2 linked regions of the Lepisosteus oculatus genome follow. The protein of the gene in region 2 interacts with the protein of the main gene of each other region in a pairwise test. Links are inferred from orthologs where the notes say so. Each region holds a gene or a part of one and is shown on either strand. Other genes may lie near its edges.

Region 1 (7,392 bases), on a different chromosome or scaffold from region 2:
CTAATTTAAGGTTCCATTATTTGTTTTTAAATTTCACATTCCACCTACCCAGTGGTCTTTGAAGTTAGACGTAATCAGAGCAGGGCCAAAGGATCGAGCTGGGTTCATTCCACATCCAGTATAACTGATCTGGGGAGAAAACCACAGATTTGCATGGGATTGCAATGGTATTTTCTAATTATCCAAATGACAAATTAATACGTGATATCTTACCAGCTGTGCAGGAGAAAACACTCACTGACACAAAAATAAAGTAAAGTGGTTATTATAGGATCTATTTTTTTATAATTAAGCCATGTTTTTTTTTTCCTGAAATGTTCAAATACTAGCAGAAACGTACCAAAGGTCACTTTCAGAATTGTTTTTTTGCTTCAAAACTATTTTTAAAAAATCTAAAAGAAAAAGTGTTTCACAGAATTCTAGATCTAAAATAGCAAGCATTTACTGAGGAAAGTGGGTGAAGTTTAAATTTATTCTGTAAATTCATCATTTGAAAAACATTACTGCTGGCAGCAGAGCAAATTTAGAAAGTGTTTGCAATTGCTCAGACTGCAACACTAAAAGGGTATTGTATCTAACTCTACCGGGGCTTTTAATTTCAATCTCTGCCTCTGACTCAATCCATTTTGCACCAACTGCTTACATACATTTGCATACTGTAGATCAAGTCAGCTGTTAAATTAAATTGGAACTGGCTAGTCATCACCAGTGATTTTTTCCACTCTATGGTGTACATTATATTTCAGTCAATTTCTAAGTGACTTACAGAAGTGAATACTAAGAATTCATGTTTTAATGACGTACAGCAGCAAGGTGCCCAAAGGCCACAGAGAGACCAATGGCAAGGGGTGCTGAGCCAGTGACATCATGCCGTCTCTTATCTGTTGTTGCTATAACACACAGGACCAGTTGAAAGGTGACAAGAAGCTCTATTCCAACACCTTGACTGGAGGTTACATTGTTTAGCTGTAAAAGAAAGACAGATACACATTTTAAAGGTTGAGAAAAAAATAATGATTCTTGTCATCTCTGGATAAAAGATTGTTTACTTTTAAACTACCTGTGAACATTATATCAACAAATCACATATTATTAGGTATCATAAGAAGGTAACAAAGGTGACAAGGAAGAGAAGGCCATCTAGTCTATCTGGTTGCTGATAACTAATTGATCTGAGTATCTTATGCAGGTTTTTTTTTAAGATGTGTGGTTTCAACAACATACTATAGCTGAGTTGCTTTCTCCACACTCCTGCATTTGTTTGAAGTGTCTAAATAAGAATATTAATCATACACTGATTACAGGATTTTTTTAAAGATGGAATAATCAAAGTATTGATACCCCACTAAATGACACTTTTGGACAGTTTTATTTTAGAACTGATACAGTAATGGTCAATAAGTACAATAAGAGACTGAAAGTGCACTACTTACAATAAATCTAAGTCAGAATATTTCTGTTTCTCACTAGGGACTTTATGTAACTATACATTTTTTTATTTATCTCAGTACATCATTTTTTAAACTTGATTCTCCTCCCAAATTTTATTTTACTGGTAAAAGCAGTTATAAATGCTTCATTGAAAAAGAACTCTGATGTAAAATATGTAACTTCCTTGATGAACCTTTGAATCCAATGGTATTCTGGTTAGTAGCAGTTGAACTACTAAAATTTCTTTTAATATTTTTCCATGTGTTAAACTTCAATATCCACTTTATTTCAACAGTTGAGCTCAAGACAATTTAAAAAAGTCATGCAAAAACGTCCATTATTTACCTTCCATTAATTACAATTAGAGATTAACTCAAGAAAGATCTGGGATATCAAATCTATATGGGATATGTTATCCGAAAATGCTGATGTGTCTTACAGTTTTAAATGAATTTAGTGAGTGATGTAATTTAATTAAGAAACACAAACTAGTGAACAGACCACTAGAGGTCATCATAAACTACTAAACCACTGCTCATTATCCTGATTGTTTTTGTTGGAATATGTACTATACGGTGTTACATTTTTTATTCTTTAGCTAAGAGCTTCTCAACTTTTTTATTATATCACACTAAGGTCACCAAATCGTCCAGGTAAAATATGTAATCTGTCTCCTTGTTCTTTTATATTATACATGTAATATTATTTGTATGTATTATTAAATCAGTTATTCTGTGTCATAGCAATGAACTATAAACAATACATTTAGCACATGTTTAGTATCTAATTTAAATTATAAAATAATTTGTAAAGAAGACCATGAGGCACATGCCACATGTTTCCAGAAAAAAAAAATAGTATTCTGAACATAAATTATGTCACTGTGTGGTTTTACTTGTGCTGTCCTTCTCATTACCTTAATTCACATTCAGGTTCTATTTCTCTGTGCATAAAACACATGGATGAAATCAGGTGGTGTTATGATTATCCAATGCATTTGCATAAAACACACACTCAAACATCTGTGCACAAAATAGGTAAAAGAGAATAAAATATGAATATTTACCTACTTTGTCTAATTAAATTATAGTGAATTAGCAACAGTTGCATACACTCTTTAAAGAAAGTTTTTAAACTTTTTTCTAGAAGCAAGAAAAAACACTCACTGAATTCACTCCCAGTACATCAGTTCCATTCGGCCTGACTCCGTACACAATTCCACTTGCCATCGATGCCCCCAGTAGTTGTGCAATGATGTACATAACAGCCTTGAAGACACTGATCTGGCAACTTGCCAGCATGCCAAAAGTCACTGCAGGATTCAAGTGGGCTCCACTTATGTGGCCCAAACTTTGAGCTAAAGTGGCTATAGCTAACCCAAAGGCTAGTGACACTTTTACCTCTTGGTCAGGACTGGAAGCTTTAGGTTGCCCTACAGCAGCTGATATACTAAGAGAAATAAAGAGAGTAATGCCTATTAGTTCAGCCAGCACTCCCTTCCAAAATGCCTTGCTCTTGAATTCTCTCATCTTGACTGAGGCTTTGCTGGTCTGATGTGGTATCTACAGACACAGAGACGTTCTGGAGAATTTATAGAGTTCAGTTCATAGTGGGAGGAGGGGGTGTTGCAAAGAAAATCAAAAGCATGCAGAATTAGTGAGACCTCAAGAGCTTTCACAGTTGTTCCACCTCTTTTTCATAGGAAGTCTTTATTCATCGAAATAGCTTTTTCTAGAAAATGTTTTATACAAGTTGTTGCTAAGACATATCATTGGTGGTAAATTCCTTAAAATTGTGTGTTGAATATCACAGAACATTAAATATTTAATATTGTTTCAATTTTATTGCAGTTAAAGGAGTAAATTGGTAAAAAGGGAAAATACAGCATAAGGTTTTGATATGTTGTAAGAAAGTTTCTCCTTCATTCTCTTTGATTGTCGTGGCAACTCCTGAACAATTGGGGAAGCAAAAGAACTGCAGTTGTTATTTTGTCTAATCATTTGCATCACAAAGTGAACCTTTTTTCTATGGAGAAAAATTCTGCTCAGAAGAGAAAAGTGAAATCTAAATACAAAACAAACAACTTAAGGAGTTATTTAATGAGACTGCATCTGATCAGAGTTTTCTTGTTCTTATGTACTAATAATGGTCAAACAAATGGGGTTTTAAAAGTATCACATAAGCAATATACAGTATTATAAACAAGTGTACAAAAACAAGGCATGTTGATTAATTCACTTAATCCCATATGTTCACACATTTTCATTCAGGATAAATACACTTACATGAATTTAAAAATCCTGAAATTATAGTACAGTACATATATATTTGATGTGAAGCTTTTATCATACATTTGACTATATTCATAGAAATTTTACTAAAATACGTCTTTCCTAGTAGAAAACTCAAATTATTCAATTGTAAAATGCATAGTTTTAGAATCCTTATAACAATACGTTTTTATACATAGTCCACAAACATGGCAAAGGTAGTACGCAGTCCAATGACTGTAAAAGACTTTATACATTTTTACTATTTTCATTCAAATGAATCCTTACTACCAAATAATCATAATTATATTATTTGTGACTTTAAAATTCAGTCTTTTTTCTATGCACCAGACCTCCCTGTTTGCTTTTTTATCGAGTCTCCATATTGTCTTGATGTGGACATATGGGAATTTACATGTACTGTACACATCTTCTGCAAAGATTACTGCTACTCAGAATCAACCATGCTACAGTACATGTATCGTGTATGTTCCTACTTTCAATATGGATCACTTTGCTTTTTAATGCAAAGATGCATATTAATTATTTGCCAGAAGTCTCAAGACAAAACTCTCTTTGTAACTCCCTTGCTGATTTGATTTTGTTTGCCACTCCCCAATTATTTTTCTATCATGTACACTACAAAATGTACTTGTTAACTGTAATACAAAGTAGTTGTTATAGATCACATAGAGCAGTGGGCCTAAAATGGGTCCCAGCACACCACTGCTTATTTCAGACCAATTACTGTTTGTGCTCTATAAAAATGATGTACTATTTCCTGTTTTCTAACCTGTTTTTGATTGTGTGCATTAACAAGTTTGGATTTGTGTGGTTTTAAATTTGAAAACCAATATTCTCTGATGTCGTTTGTTTGAGCATTTTAGCAAGATAGTTAAATAAGACATTCCATTTATAAGCCCATTCTATTGACTACTAGATTATGGCAATAGTCCTATCTAGTATTGTTATGTACTGCAACTCTATCATTTGCATTTCACTTTAGCATTAACATTAGTCTTATTGCTCTATTGTTTCCTGGATCATTTACCCTACTCATTATGAACTGAAGACATTTATAGTTCTCCAATCTGTGGACACTGCTCCCATTCAAGTGAGAGTTAAAATATCACATTTTGGAGTCTATGAAAACAGACTTCAATTCTTTTAAATGACTGGGAAAATTCTAGTGATTTACTGTAGGGTCAAGATCAGTTGTGCTTAATTTACACAATATTGCTGGAGCTTGTTATATAACATTGGATATCTCTGTGAATTTAAATGTAACATATTACATATACAATTATTAACTTTACTTACTACTATATTTCCCTACGGGATTAATAAAATATTATCTATCTAAAACACTACTCAATCATCATTGTTTTAATGTTATAGTACTGAGTGAAATGCTTTGTATTGTTTTTAATTGTGCTACAATATTCTGTTCTCTCTCATGGTAATTCTTTTGTATTTTTTCTAGCAACTAGCTATAGCAACTAGTTAGTAGCAACTAACTATAATATCAAACTGTAGACATTTTAGCATACTATGATTGTTTTAAGTGATTAGGTTGATAAGAGTATCTTCCCTGGTTGGTGCTTTTACAAAGTATTCATTGACATTTTAACCATATTAGTTTGAGCTGCTGTATTTCCATAACAATATTAAATGCATATGAAGAAAACTGAAATCACTCAGTAATATGATTCCATCTTTGCTACATACTGTACATTCCTAACTAATACAGTATATTATACAGTAAACTGCTTGCATCCATGTCTGTATTAGCTTGTCTTTGGCATATAACAGTTGTTTTGTTCTTAGAATTTCTTTTCTGCAGTTTAACCCAAATATGTTATATACACATGTATTTTCTTTCTTCAGCTTTCTTGCTTGAAGTTTTTTAGGAGTCTTTGTCTCCTGCCTCAAAATGTGCAGCTATTTATATTCATTCATGCTGTAAGAAAACCGGCTCAGGGACTTAAATATGTAATCACAGTGGCTTTCTGAAGACACCAGTTCTGTAGGGTTTGGGCATTTACTGAGACAATTATTAATTGTAGCAGTAAATCACAAACTTGATTCTTTTGATGGCTTTAGAATCCAACCATGCGACATAACTCAAACAATGCACACACACAGGTACTAGTACACGAGGATACATTTATTAATACATAGAATATGCATATAAACCTAACATATCTTATCGAGAGGGTTATCAGAATACAAAAGGTATATATTCAGTCAGTTACAAAGAGTTACACATATCAAGAGGACATACGGTCAGTATATCATTCATTAAGATCGTTTCATAAATGAACTTGGTTATAACTTCTACATTAGATACTCAAAACAAGTACATAACTCTTAGGAATTAAATTGATATCAACTGGTTGGGATAACAATTGAATTCTCGAGCTGTAATGCATTGAAGTTGAATACTCATCCAATTTCTGGGGATTCAGATCTCCTGCGGGCACAAAGAAACAGTTGCAGGCTGTTGCTTGTCCAATCCAGGCTTTCTGGCTCCGTGCCAGGCTGTGCTGTGCGGCTTGCGACGGTGTGCTGCAGATGCTCACTGACCGGCTAGTTAGCAAAGTTTGTGCACAGGAGAAAAGATGACTGTGGGTCCCAGCAAGTCAGGAAGAGGACCAGTTCGTTCCTGATGAAGAGCTAGTTCTGAATAGTGATTCAGCTGTCCACAGTTCCGACCTGTTCACGAGGCCTGATGCTGGTTACTCTCTGGCAACCTCCACTCGAGACTCTTATAACAAAGGAAAGTTCTGGCACTCGGACACACTGGCCGTTCCGTGGTTGTCCGGGCTGAGTCTCAGGATGGTCAGGAGGCGCGCTGCGAGAATGTCCTGCCCTTGGGAGCCTTCTGCTCCTGGGCCGTCCTGCCCTGGAATTCTCCTTTGAATTCCCTTTAGAACAGTCCACAGAATCCTCTCCAGAATCTTACTGAATCTCACTGAATCTCACAGGCTCTCTGTGTTGCCTGTTTTTACCTGGAGGAACTTCAGCTCGTTGATTGCCTAAAAGTTCCATGGGCATCAGAGTCCCACGTGGGTTACTCGGCCCTACCAGTCCCTGATTGGTTGATCAAGGTGAGATATGAGTCACTTACTCCTGACACTTAGTAATGCAGTCCAGATGTCCAACTGGCACTCCCTAGACAGATAGGCGCCAATGGATGACCATTGATCATGATAGCCAGGCTTAGCTAAGTGCATCCCCCTTTGGGAGCTGTCCTTATCAAAGGAACCCTAAATCAGCTTGCATGAATAGTTTCTCTGTGGCTGCACCACAGAGATGAACAGAGAAATGGGGCCTCATTTGGGAAGGTTCAGCTCACTTAATTCTTTCTTATTAATAAGCCTCGCCGCTACAATGCCATCTTCCCCTAGACTATAATATCATAATTCCAGCACCCTGCAACTTACAACTGGCAGTCCACTGAAGCTAAGCAGGTGTAAGCCTGGTCAGTACCTGGATGGGAGACATCCGGGGAAAAACTAAGGTTGCTGCTGGAAGTGGTGTTAGTGGGGCCAGCAGGGGGCGCTCACCCTGCGGTCTATATGGGTCCTAATGCCACAGTATAGTGACGGGGACGTTTACAGTATAGTGTCTTCGGATGAGACGTAAAACCGAGGTCCTGACTCTCTGTGGTCATTAAAAATCCCAGGGT
Region 2 (7,090 bases):
ATACACTTTCCTTGCATTCATATGGGACATAATTGTCAATTAACTTTGTTCTGATTTCCCCAATACAGTATAATGAGAAGTGATGTAACTCTTAAAACGTTCAATTTTAAACATTCCTCTAAGGTGGAGACAGGTTAACTGTCCTTCTTTAATCTATGTAGTTAACAGTCTCATAGTCATGACACACGGTGTTGAAAAACTTTGCTGTGGCCTATTTCTTGTGGAATTTATTGGGGCAAAAACGAGGCACACAATATATTGATGCAATTCCTTACACACAACTCTTTGTAAGTCAAGACAGAAATTACTTTCATAATACCTGCTGTGTATGCGCTTATGATGAAAACCATGCACATATTTTACCGCTTATTTCCATAAAGAGAAAGAATGTATACCATATGTATCAATACCACAGCACTTCTTAAAGCATTTCCTTAATTTTAATTTCTTTTAACTTTTTTTGAAACCGCGGACATAAGAAATTAATATGGTATTAATAAACCCTGAGGTAAAATAAGGTGATTCAGCCAGGGTAATAAATCTAACAACAGGTCCCATTTTTCCAAGTTGCCTTTTTCCTTGACAGTTTACAAAATGGCATGGTAACAATAAACTACAATAGCTGCCAGAATCTCTTCCTTTTAGAAAGCTGTGACCTTACAGCCTACAAAGGTTGAAACAGAAAGCATAACAAAAAATTACATCATAGGAAATTAAAGAAACGTGCTTATACCAGATGTTAATCTAACTATTAGTAAATAAAACCACATGTATGACATGAGATGTATAGAGGTTTTATAACAGGTCCTTAGAAGGAAGCAATGACTAAAGAATAAAGTAAAAATCTCCTGAGGGCTTCTTGTGCCCCTTAAACTGTAAGGAAACCTCCATCAGACATTATGTCCATCACATTTGCATCTAAGCAATTATCTTCTTTTGTTTATAGTTACTACTACATCAACCACTACTTAATAATATAACTTAAAATCAAGACAGTGGCTATAATAATGCAATGCTTTAACTGTTTTTCTATTAGTCTGGACATCTTCACAATGTATATAGGAAACAATATTGTCCTTTTGAGATTTCGTTTTCCCAAACATAAAATACTGTTTTAAAGGCAGGAGATTCAAGTAGAATAACTTCTAAACAGACCCCCTTCAGACTCTTGAATCATCATTTCTGCTTTAGGTCCTATTTTGCCTTGCTCAAGAGTTAGTTTTTTTTTCCCCCAAGTCATCTTTAACAGCTGCTTTAAAGTTGACGGGCTGCACGTTACAGATTCTACACAAGTTTTCTAAAGCTCTGCTAGGTTGTGATTCACAGATCACCAACAGCATTCACCGTGTCTGGGGATTTAAAGCTTTTCAGGGCCAACACTAGCTCAGAGGGTACTGCTTTTAATTGAGTCATACATTCTACACATATCCTTTATATGGCCTTATATACAGTATTTACACCAAAGTAGACAACTCTTTATCATTACAATGAATTGGCAAAGGTGACAAGGCTGCATGGGCGGATGGGAGAAATGGAATACAAAAGACTTTCGTATAGCTGACAAACAATTATACAATCGCTCTTACCCAGTGTAATCCACTTCTCTGGGATAATTAAGTAATCGAAGATGTTGGTCGAGCTTTCTCAGACTGCCTTTCAGATCCCCCGTTGCCATTGTCACTGAAGATTTTTGCGTGTGTGTGTGTGTTTACCTGATGTTTCTGAGCATGAAAAAACAGTGGTCAATACGTGAAGCATTTTTCACTACCCGAATAATGACGATAAATTACAAAATACACGACTCGATTAAATGTAAGAATACATTCTGAAAGGTACCGACTACCGTACATGTGGTTTATCTGACAGTTTGCCCATTTCTCTTGGGCAGTATCTGTAACGTACTGTGCATTTATATCGTTTCTTGTTATTGGTACGTACCTTGCTACCTACAGTAACTAAACCAACAGTTTCCTATTAATTTATTAAATCAGTACAGTTGTGAGGAAAAGGGTTCTGTTTGAACTTATTCAGCTGCTTTCCCTGTTTCATTAAGTCGTTTCAGAAGCCAGGAAAATGCAGTGTTGCCACGATAACTCCGAGAACAAACAAGAACAAATGGATCGCCCACACCAGAACTGCAGCAACTGTTGTTTTAGATTTACTGTGATTTGTGCTGAAGAAGGTTATATATAAGGTTACATATTGTGGTGAGAAGACCACAATATGTAACCTTGAAAACGGTGCAACACGTAAACCGACAAATTAAGAGATGGTGCCATTAAAACAAAAGATACAAAGTGCAAGTCAGATGATTACTCTCGACTTGTTAGAATAATGCAATTTGAGTTCCACTGCAAACTTTGTACATGCACCAGCGCTAGGATTTGAATTACCAATAATAACATTTGAGCAATCGACAATTATTGCAAACTTGAAACTAACAGAACTTCGTAGGTCTTCTTTTAAAATGTTAAGTTTTTAACTACATGCACCTTTCCTCTTTAAAAAGTTTTACTTACCAGTTTATTTACAGCTGTAGTAACTAAAACTCAACAGCAATACAGTAACAGCAGTGACAATTTATATATCAGCTGTATCTGTAATTAAAATCTAAAACTTGTAAATGTTACACTCGGTTACTGTTATAAATCACGAATTTATTTTCAGATGCGAAACCCTGATATAAACTATCTTGCTAACTACCGTAAACACAATTCTCCTTTACAAAAAAAAAATCAGTTTGTTCCTTGCCGGGTTAATCATGGGAACTGCCGCCATTGGTTAACTACATATAAGCATACAATTATCTTTAAATTAAGAGACGCACATTCGATAACAATTAAAGTCAATCTGTTTGGCCCAGGTGGTGAAAATATTTTTTTTTTACTGAATGTAACGAAATTTTACATTATTGGATAGCATGAATGTGTTATGCTGGTTAAGTCTGTTTTTTTTATAAAGGAAATTGATCCCAAGATAGATTTACTCATTTACTTTCTTACGTCATTTCCACCAACAACACGGGACGTCAAAAGTGACAGCAGTGGAGAGGCTGACGGAGCGAAGTAGCTCCGGCGGTCACGGATAGGAGGAGGAGGTGGCAAGAGGCGCTACAGACGCAGGTTAGACAGTACTCGATCTTCCTGTGGAAAAGACGGGGCAGCTTTGGTCTCAGATGGGTCTGCTTGGGAACTGATCGCGGAGGAAAAGAGAAACATTCCTGCGAAAGTGCTTGTTAGTCTTCGCTGTTTCGTCGCGGCGGCGGTGGTAGAATTCCTTAGTTTGAACAGGTAGGTGGCGTTTTCTTATGTTTTGTTTTTCCCTTGTTGTTGCTGTTGCTGCTGTTGTTGTTGTTGTTGTAAATCAACCGAACTTAACAAAGAAGGGAAAACATTTGAGTGTCAGAAGGCCAGGCCAATCACAGCAGTGGCAGATTTCTGTAGAAGCCACCTATGGTGGAGTACAGGCGTGGACCTCAGTCAAGCTTGCTGAAGCGGCACCAGAACCGCTGGGACTTCTCGGGGAGCTTTTTGAACAAAGTCGTGCGCAGGACCTGTTGTTTTGTCGGACAATGCAGTAGGCACAGCTTCGTCACGCCTGTGACGTGCAGTGTTCAGTCGCCTGGTGGCACAGCACTTGTCACAAGTTGGCGACGTTCATTTTTCCTGAGTATTTGGTGATTTATGATCAACACTTGTTTTCACAGCCAACGGGCGACTGGATCTTATGAGTAGCTTCCCCGCGAGTTGTTAGTGAACTCCTGCTGCGGTCACAGCCGAACACTAGTCGAGTAATGCTTTAATAGTCGCCGGAGGTGCGTCGTTACATTGATTTTAATATCAAATACAAATATAAGAGATGTACCTAAATTCTACGAACTGTAAGTGTAGCCAATGGACAAAATACTTCATGAGAACACCAGATGCTGTTCCGTAATGCTTCAGGGTGGATAGCTGAACTGTAACACTTTCTTTGAATTACTACTGATATTTTTGGAGAGTTGGTTGTCATGCTTGTAGATTCTTGTCTAATGTAGCTATTAATGAAAGAATACTATCATAGTTATTTATCTGTGCCAGCAGCCTCTGCCCCTTTTGGCCTAAATCGGTCTCAGATCTCAGAAGCTTGCAGCGTTTTTCCGGTCAGAAACGTCTCCCTGGACCAGAATGTTCGCATCAATACCCCAGTCTGGTGACAGTGTGGAACTGCACTGTAGAAAGAACCAGTCCTTTAGCATCTGATGGCATTGTTAATGAGAGGAGTGCTTTTAACCCTGCTGTCCTATCTCTTTGGGATTGTGCATTCTGGCCTAAAAGGTTTCCCCCCAATTCAGCCATTAAATATATTTCTGACTTCTCGACCCTGCCTTACTTGTAATGAGGCTACTGGTGCATAATTGCATCAGTCATGGAGGCTGCAGTTTATATCCTACATAATGGAAGTAGTATTTGTAAGTTGGAATTATTATCACAGTGGGCCTGCTTTATGAAATCTTGTGCTGTTCAGCAAGACGCATCACATTTTATATGTGTAAACCCAAAGTAAGCACCTTACTTCAATTATTAACTTCTTTTTTTTTTTCAGACTCTGCAGGTTTAGGCCTTCTGAATCTCAGATGTTGACCCTGTTCTTGCTCTAGGCAGATCAGCAAAACGGAGCTGCGTACTCATGTACAATGCAGTAGGCCTATACAGTATGTGAAAAATACAGCAATCTCCTCACTGGAGGTTAGTGAGCATTTACATTTGAAAATGCCTTGAATCAGTCTTCTGTTTCTAAATAAGCGTATTTGCTTCAGAAAGCATGCCTTAATCTACCCCCTTCATTAAATGTATTTTTTTTTCTTTAAGAGAATCTGTATTTGAATAGTAGAGACGGCAGTAATCAAATTTAAGTGTAAAATAATGTATTATCACTGAACTGCGTTTTTGTTTAGTAGGAACCACCACTGAGAATCAAGTACTTGATTGCCACCTAGCCTACTATATGTTCGGAGTCGAGTTGTATAAGAGTATCCTGCAAGATATCAGGAGTTTTCCAAAAAACCTATTATGAATAAAATGCATCTACTGAAGCTACCTCCGTTTGCTGTATAGTGGTTTCCAGTCTATGAGAAACACACGTAACACCATAACAAACAAAAGGGCAGGAAATCCCTTTCTGGGAGTAGTGTGTTATTGCAAGTTATTTTTGGTTTCAAGTGAAACCTGTAGACTTCAGATATTTTACTGAAGAAAATCTGAAATGGCAATATCGAGAGAAGTGTTTGAAGATGGCTAGCACACTGGCACAATGCTGCCTCTCCGCACTGAGGCCCTGGGTTCAATTGCTGGGGTGCTATCTGCATGGTGTTTGTATGTTTGTACATTGAAGCACCCAGAGAAAACCCACATTTTCTCCAGGTGCTCTCTTACAGCTCAAAGACATACTGGCAGGTTAATTGGCTGCTTGGAAAAAGGTGCAAAAGTGTGTGTACTCTGTGAAGGACTAGCGTCCCATCCAAGGTGTACCCTGCCTTGTGCCTGTTACCTGCCTGGATGAGCTCCTCCCCTTCTGTGATCCTCTGGTGGAGAATGGATAAATAGACATCTGTTTGAAGAGAACAGCTTGCTGGATAGGTGCTCATATTGAGTCCTGGTATATTCATTTAAGTCTAAAAAATTTTGGTTCATAATTCTTCTTGACAAAAATTATGTTTCAAAGTTATTTAAAAACTTCAAACCAGATGTACCTGTACTTTTTTTTTCATTTCAGCATGTAATTTCATTCTCCCCTTAATATCAGTGATTTCACTGCTGAAAACAGATATAACTGTGTAAGCTTTTTTTATTTTTTAGATGATTAGGTGTTTTATAGAGTCTGTTAAAGAGTTTGTGTGTATATCCATGTCTGAATTTGTATGTGTTGGTATAGCAGTGTTTTATGTTTTTGACTGAGGGAGCTATACAGTTATTAACCCATCAAAACATTTGGTAGGTAATGTTTGAAGATGGGTGGCACATCGGCACAATGATTAGGATAAAGATGCACACCATTCAGTTTGTTGGAAAAAAATATTTTTAGACTTGTCATTGTGTTAAATTATCTACGGTATATCTGACCCATTTCAAAGTGTAGTTGGAATGAGAGGGATGTAGCCAATGGATTCACGTCACAAGCTAGTCTTAATAGAGCAATTAACGCTTCCCTTTTCAGCTTTTTCCCCGATGCAGAGATGGAAAAAAAGTAGAATATTGCAGAATTTACCATTAAATTGAGCTTTATCTCACTTGGTCATTTAAAAATATAAATGTCTATCTTTTGGTAATGTTTTTCAACTGTGAAAATGGGATGGATGCCTTGTGCAACGCTATTGAATAATCCCTGATCACTCATATTTGTGTTTTTATGTTTTTTAAGGTTTTTGTACAAGATTCTGTACCGTGTGCATTACCATTAATACAGAAGGTTTTCTGCTGCATCAGAAATAAATAGAAATCAGTACTGTAGACATGATATAGGATAGGATTTGATGTTTTGCGCACATCAGGCCTCTTAACTGGCATCCTCTCATTTATAGCTTTGTGCTTTTAGCCATGTTGTTTGAAATTTTGAAAATAATATGCATTCTATTTTATTTACTCTTACAAAGCTTTGCCCACTCCTTATCTTGTCTGTACACTCTATGCTAGAATGTTGAAAAGCAAGTTCAATTATAGTGTCAGAATCCTAAAGCTGTCCTGCCCACATTACATTTTAAACAATTAGAAATATTTTAGGAATGCCTCTGTGGGGGATGATTCTGTTAGGTTGTGATCACAAAGCTGGTAACTTGGCAAAATAATTTTGAATCCCATTATAATTAAACAAATAACATCATAGATAAAGCAATGAAGGTGCTCTCATCCCAGACCAAATATGTAAAGATATGTTTACGACATAATTATATACTTCTAAAATAATAATAAAATAACCCCACTTTAGTTAGCCTATTAATTCTAAATAGGTTGAAAATCCAAGTACACATATGAAGAAGGGCTTCTCCTCTTCCTTTTCAGGCCTGTCATTTACTGTGTCAATGTAAAGTTGATATTTTAGATCTCTTAAAACA

The links. The genes of interacting proteins can lie anywhere in the genome.
Region 1: the proteins of cep44 (region 2) and aquaporin FA-CHIP interact in binary tests that used the Homo sapiens proteins (3 or more experiments, as listed by UniProt). The link is inferred for Lepisosteus oculatus from reciprocal best matches to the Homo sapiens genes CEP44 and AQP1.

The regions. Positions count from the first base shown.
Region 1 is NC_090701.1:33,148,566-33,155,957, reverse strand, and holds the start of aquaporin FA-CHIP, read right to left. Parts: upstream 3,008-7,392; 5' UTR 2,961-3,007; coding exon 2,598-2,960; intron 967-2,597; coding exon 805-966; intron 130-804; coding exon 49-129; intron 1-48. UniProt on the Homo sapiens protein: Forms a water channel that facilitates the transport of water across cell membranes, playing a crucial role in water homeostasis in various tissues.
Region 2 is NC_090696.1:73,394,587-73,401,676, reverse strand, and holds the start of cep44 (centrosomal protein of 44 kDa), read right to left. Parts: upstream 3,077-7,090; 5' UTR 3,003-3,076; intron 2,802-3,002; exon of another isoform or gene 2,520-2,801; intron 1,722-2,519; 5' UTR 1,676-1,721; coding exon 1,587-1,675; intron 1-1,586. UniProt on the Homo sapiens protein: Centriole-enriched microtubule-binding protein involved in centriole biogenesis. In collaboration with CEP295 and POC1B, is required for the centriole-to-centrosome conversion by ensuring the formation of bona fide centriole wall.